Linked DNA regions of Saccharomyces cerevisiae S288C. Changing the gene in region 2 together with the main gene of any one other region gives a genetic interaction. Each region holds a gene or a part of one and is shown on either strand. Other genes may lie near its edges.

Region 1 (3,758 bases), on a different chromosome or scaffold from region 2:
GCAGGGCAGAGGAGTAACAATAAAACGCCCTGCAAAGAAGTATGATTACTGTTCTTGCCAGACTTAGAATTCTAAGTGTTAAAAGTCACCAATAAGGAAGGAAAAAAGTTTATGATAGTTTATACTGTTGTTGTTACTACCTGCTCCGTTATGTTTCTAACAAGGAATAAAACAGGGTATAGACGTGATGTCAGCTTAAAGAGGAAAACGAAATATGTAAACTTTGTTAAAAATAAACAGGGCCCCTTATTGATCGTTCGCGATGCTATTATTTTATAAGCCAGCCTTTATCGTTTCTTTTGATCTTGTTTCTTTTTCTTGTTTTTTTTTTTAACTTCGTTCTCTTTTCACGTACTGATTACTCACACCAGGAGAAAGAAGTTGAAAAATGCTGTTATTCTCTGGAACACGCTATTAGATAGTACTTGCTGGTTCCGTAGACAAACAGCTCTTGCGCTTTATCACTTCGACAAGTGTCTTTACAGCTTCGCGATGACATATCGTCTCTTGCCCCTGCCCCACCTGTAACAATAGCTTGGCCAAAAAAGAAAAAAATGTTCCGACGAATTTTTCCGCTGATTTTGGCTGATCGCGTCGCGCCACAAAAACGAAACTTCCATAATAAAACATTATATAAAGCTTTTTATTATTATTATTATTACTTTCTTAGTTATAGCATTAGAACTATAAGAGCTGCTAAGACACCAAGCAAACATGTCGACTAGACCCCAACCTGATTGGTATTACCATAGACATCCATATGCCTCTACGCCACTGGCAGAAGGGGAGGAACCACAATTACTCCCCATCCAAGACCAAGGGAACCATAAGAAATCAAAAATTTGGATGGCATACAAGGCTCCGATAGTTCGATGGTACAAGAATGCTATGCTTGTTAAAGACAATTTTTGGAAAGACCTAGAGTCGTCGCACCAGATCATCTGGTATCCGTATAAAGTATGTTGATGTTCCAATAAGCAGATCATGTTTTTTAAGCCGTCATACTAACCGCCTTTGAAGGGAATTAGCGAATCCGTGGGAAACTCGGATTATTTGCATCTATTTTTCCTAATATTTGGATACTACCTGCTGAATCTCCTGCTTATTGTTGCGTTTACGTCAATCCTTGCGTGGTCCTTGTTAGTGTGCATCTATTTGCCCTTTCTCGGACTCTTTGCGTTACCTCTGGCTTATATGCAAACTATTCTGATTTCCACAACGCTATGTAATTCTATGGTGAAGGGTACCGATTTCGTTCTTTTCACACGTATTTATGGAGTGACGTTCGCAAGAAAGGGATTAACAGAGTTGAGTGAAGCCTGTGAAACGATAAGTTTCACGCCCTTTGTCTACAGAAGGTCACATCGTTTGGGTGGCCTCTTTTCGAAACGGTTTTACCTCGTCTCTTTGCCGCAGTTTTTCATTTTTTTCTTCTGGTACATCTTCATAGCCTTTATGTTTCTTTTATTGTTGCTCGTTCCAATAGTGGGTCCAATTACAATCAATATGCTACCATTTAGCCCCGGAATGGGATTTTACTATTTTGAGCCTTATTTTGTTGACGTGCTACATTTGGATTCGCGCAAACTTTCCAAAGTTTACTACAAGGGCTTTGCCAAGTGGCTCCTTTACTCGATATCCAGCGGTTTATTAGAGTCTATTCCCATTCTGGGTGGGTTGTTCATTGGAACAAACGCAGTAGGTGCTTCGCTTTGGATAGTTAAAGAGATAAAAGACCGGGACCAGCCAGCCGTACCTCCTTCCCCTCCTGCGGAACCAGAAGAGCCTACTGTAGGATCCTATGCACCTCCAATCCAACAATCTATAGCTCACATTAATCCGCCATGAAGCTCGCAACTCTTTTACATACCAATTTATATATTCATTATATGTTTACATATATAAATATATATATATACTATATACTATATATTACTTGCTAATAATATTCGTTTCTTTTCAACATTTGTATATGCATAAAAAATTTGGGAAATCAGGGGACTTATGAAAATCAGGGTGGTTACACTCGGAACTTCAAAACCTAAATAAAGTAAATCACTTTCAAGAAAGGTGAAGGGACGTCAAAAAAAGGAAAAAAAGGGCAAGGTATATCCCTGAGGACCCCTGGTTGGCTGTAAAGACAAACTAAGGATGAAAGCCGGAATTGAGCTTATAAGTCACAGCCAGGCTTCTCACGCCACATATGCTAATTCTATGACCCTTGCAGAAAAGGGGCCACAACGTTTAAAAAGACAATTCAAAGAACACAGTTCTTCAAAGGAAAGTAACGTAAGTCGTTGGCTAAAGATTTTCATAAGACAGTTTGATATTTGGTTTCCTGAAACGATACCAACAATGAAAGTGAGATACGAACTGCTTAGAAAAAACTTCATTAAAGAAATTTTCAACTCAAGAGCATTTATCTACCCATTCTTAGTAAGTACATGATTTTTGTTTGCATTGATATGACTTGTTTTATGACTAACATATTTAATTTTTATTTGTTAACCGTAGGGGTTTTATGAAGTGCTGACGAATCCTGTTTATTGGAAGCATATTTTACTGTTTGCGGTTTGCTATGCCCTGATTTTTGTCACTATTGCTGGTCTCTTTTATGTCACACTTGTACCGCTTTTAGTGACATGGGCCATACTGTTATTAGGGCCTCTTGGTGTGATACTGGTTCATATTCAATGGATTTTACAAACGAATGTCTTGACTGCCTTTGTTTGTAGAACACTGGTCCTGACCCATATTACGAATCAGATATTTGATATATCTTTGGTGTTGCAAGACCAAGATGAATTTCTAAACGAGGTGAAGGTATTGCCTAAACCACAAAAGCCACATAGAAAAATCGATGAACCTGATGCGGTGAGAAATTTCAACACAATAAAGGGAAGTCGGATTTTTAAGATTCCCAGATTACTATTCAGAATGTTTTTTAAAGTCTCCAATTTTACTTCACTAACATTACTGTCGCTAATTCCTATTGTAGGACCAATCTTGGCAAATCAACTAATGGCCCCAAAAAGAACCTTTACCTATTTGCAGAGGTACTTTTTACTAAAGGGATTCAGTAAGAAACAGGCCAAAGATTTTCAGTACGAGCATTACGCAAGTTTCATATGTTTCGGTATGTCTGCCGGTCTACTAGAGTTAATACCCTTCTTCACAATAGTCACCATATCTAGCAACACTGTTGGTGCAGCTAAATGGTGTACTTCGCTACTAAAGGGTGAAAGAAAGAAGGAATGAGCCTAAAACAGCAAATTTATGTAGAAGTGTGATTATATATTCCTTAACTAATTGTTAATCAAGTTCTAGCATCATCTTCCTAGCATCTATGTGTATAGTACATGTACACCTAGTAAAGAATAATACTGTCCAAACATCCGAATCCTGCCGCCACTCCACCTTCATTTGAAGTATTAAATTTGGATCTTAGTAATGAGCCACTAAATTCGTTCGATAAAACTTGCTCGTCGTTAAATAGAACGCAACCATAAATTCCTAGTTCACTGATGATTGGTTCGTTGTAAGATTTGTTATCACGTAATATAATATTATTTTCATTCAACTCTGGTTCAATCAACTCCATGAGAATATATGCATCCCAGTGACGTTCTTCGATACCTTTCAAAAAATTAGGAATATTTTCTTTATAAACATTGTTTCCGCCACCTTCCCGCTGTGGTTTTAACACGTATTTAGAGGGCTCACTTAATGCCAGCCTCTTGCCTTCCCTGCCAAGCTTC
Region 2 (3,095 bases):
ACAAGACCTGGAACGGCCCTTTTTGTCTTGCAACAAGACGTCTGTCCTGTTACCGGCCAGCTCCAGTTCTCTCTTCAACTGTTGTATTTTCTCCTGGCTAACATTCTTCCTTGGACGGCCCATTATTATTTACGTGTATTGTTGGTAGTTAGCCCGAAGATTATGAGTACGTGAAATACACTTGTCTTTATGAAAGAGTGGAAAAATGGTGGGGAGTAAGTTATACTATTGACGTGTAAAAAAAAAAAAAAAAAAATGTTAATGGAACGACCGATCTAAAGAACCATATATAATGAATGACTAAAAAAAGCAAAATAGTTAAGAATCCAAGAAAGATACTAAGAAAAGGCGAAAAGAAAAAGAAAAAGTATGTCCGCTAACAAAGATTAGCGTATAAGCACCACACGATGCGATTCAGGTCTCAACGTGCAGTGTGCAGGAGCAGGAACTATTCAATGTATTGTTGTTCCAGGGTTTTTGTTCGCAACCCACGTCTTGACCGACGGTACCCGCAGGTGAAAATTTTAGCAAAGTTACACTTTTTTTTTCATTTTTTTTTTTCTTTTCTCCTCCATCTAATTTCACCTGCGGTTACCGGCGGAATAACTCGCGCACCATTTCTCTGTCTCGGGCCTCGCGTTCCTCTTTTTCGACTCGAGCGGCCTCTTCACGCTGCTCGTACTTCGCGACGCTGCGCCGGCGCTGCGAGCGTTTCTGTTGACGGTGCCACTGTAGAAGCGCCTCCTCTCTGGACGGCATCGTGTCGTACGACGCCGCAAGTTCGCGCGCGAGCTTAAGCCGGGCAAGCTTTCGATTTTGCTCACGTGACCGCGTTTCTTGGCACTCGACAACGATCCCAGTGGGTTCATGCCGTAGTTGTACCTTAGAATTACACTTATTAATCTTTTGGCCACCGGGCCCTCTGCCGCCATGAAGGAATTTCTCAGTGCATTGTGCTTCCATCTCTGGCGTGAACTTTGGTCGCGGTGGTAGCTTGTTCTTTTTAATCAGCAGCACTGCGGCACTGCTGATTGACCTCTTACTCGCTCCCCTCATCATAGTTTACTAGTCTCGGATTCTTCTGCGCTTTTTCCAGGGTCGCATAGCTTGTAGGTTGGTAGCATAGACTTATATATAAACTCATATCCGTTCTAGGAACGTATAGCGCGCTATGGTAGTCCGGGGAAAATGCACAGTTTAGTTAAGTGTATAGTAATTTTATCGATAAAGGAAGAATGGAAGAGGTTTATGTATACATGTAAACTCTGAACATCTAATAGACTAATGATGCGGTTAATACGTACATTGCCGCTTCGATGCTTCAAAACTAGAATACGGCGGCAAGGCTCGTTGTTGTGTTTGCGGTGCTTTAGTTCGTATTCAAAACCACTTTTGCAGAAATCAATGTCATTGAAAAATATCCAGTTATCAGACCTATCCTCATCGCCATTATCCAAGAACAAGGAGAAGCAGGAGAAGCCAGAGAAGGAAAACGAAGGAAAGCACTCCATTGGCCTGTTAGACAGATTTTCAGAGGACTTTATTACTCAGGGCAATGGATTGAAACCTACTACTTCACAAAATCAATTGGATACTATAAAGTTTTATCAAATGCTTCGTGAAAGAGGCAATTTTTCCGATGAACAATGTAAAATTATCATAGCTCTATTGTTGCAACTACTAAATGATCAGTTTTATTCCTGTTACAATGATTTGTTCTTAAGGGATATGGAGCTGAATAAACAATCACATTTGTTCAGCTCGCTAGAAACAGAATTGAAATTCGCAATTCAAAACTCTAGAGACACGCAACTAAATGAGCACCACTTGCAATTATTAAAACTCAAGAGAGAACTTAACTCAATCCATGATGAACTGAATGAAATCATAATAGATCTTTTGCAAAAGGACGCTAAATTAGAATTTAACAATCAAAAATTAGAAAACACCCTTTTGTATCGACAATTAAACCTGAAATTGAACGACTGTTCTAACAAGATTCAAACCAAGATACTGGGGGATATCAGGTCACATATCGAAAATTTAAGATGGCAGACAACCAGAAGCGGTCTTTTGGTAATATTAGTCCTTGTTTGTTCGATTATGATCGGTGTAAGCGCATCTAAGAAGGAACGCCCAGGTTTACAGGAACCTGAGGAACCTGAAATTTTAGCACCAAAGGAAGACATTGATACTACCTTCCCTCAAGATCAACATGATATAGATTAATTAGCATACATATTGTCTGTACATAAGTATATTGTGTGTGCGTTTTGTTTCACTGAGAAAGCGGACGTCATAAACGATGCTTCCTTTGTTTCGAGCCCAGCTGCCTAAATCTTTTTAAGGGCTCTCCATCTACCCAATACTTGAGAGATTCATTTACTTCCACTGAGTTAGCCTTATTGAATGCATCGATGTGGTTCGATTTCAGCAATTTTTTCATCCCTAAGCAACTGGGCAGGTATAGCCCTTTCACTTTCTCCCTCAATTCTTCTAAGACCTTTGCATTGAACGCTTCAGCGTTTGAAGATGGCATGTTAAAATTCTTGCTTATAAATCCGTTCTCGCACATTATATCGTACTTGAATGGTTTGTTGAACATGAGGCATTCATACGTCGTATTTGTGCCAAACTTCAATGGCAAAGAGACCGTTGTACCACCTTCGGTAATTAGTCCTAAGTTAGCAAAGGGGTATAGCAAATAAACCTTGTCATTTATACTGTACACAATGTCACATAACGCTACCAGTGCCGCGCTCAACCCTATTGCTGGTCCATTCAAACAGCAAATTAAAACTTTGGAATGCTTGATGAAGGCATCAGTGACATAAACATTTCTAGCGACAAAATTTGACACCCACTTGCTTGTTTCCGAAGGATATTTATTGGTATCATCCCCTTGGGCTTTTGCAATACCCTTGAAATCAGCACCACTGGAAAAAAATCTACCACTGCTTTGTATAATTGTAAAATATACATCACGATTTCTGTCCGCTAGTTCTAGTAACTCTCCTAAATAAATATAGTCTTCACCTTCTAGTGCATTCAAATTGTCAGGGTTCATTAAGTGAATAATGAAGAATGGTCCTTCA

Evidence for each region. A genetic interaction does not mean that the proteins touch.
Region 1: mutations in RSO55 (region 2) and RRT8 together harm fitness more than expected from each alone (negative genetic interaction), as found in Saccharomyces cerevisiae (one large-scale study listed by BioGRID).

Annotation. Positions count from the first base shown.
Region 1 is NC_001147.6:239,704-243,461, reverse strand, and holds RRT8 (Rrt8p), read left to right. Parts: upstream 1-2,151; coding exon 2,152-2,436; intron 2,437-2,514; coding exon 2,515-3,258; downstream 3,259-3,758. Other genes in the region: LDS2 (Lds2p), read left to right, coding at 715-957, 1,021-1,848; GSH2 (glutathione synthase), read right to left, coding at 3,368-3,758. UniProt on the Saccharomyces cerevisiae protein: Involved in spore wall assembly. May be involved in the modulation of rDNA transcription.
Region 2 is NC_001144.5:703,902-706,996, forward strand, and holds RSO55 (Rso55p), read right to left. Parts: upstream 1,060-3,095; coding exon 592-1,059; downstream 1-591. Other genes in the region: YLR278C (uncharacterized protein), read right to left, coding at 1-123; PUT7 (Put7p), read left to right, coding at 1,285-2,229; ECI1 (dodecenoyl-CoA isomerase), read right to left, coding at 2,297-3,095.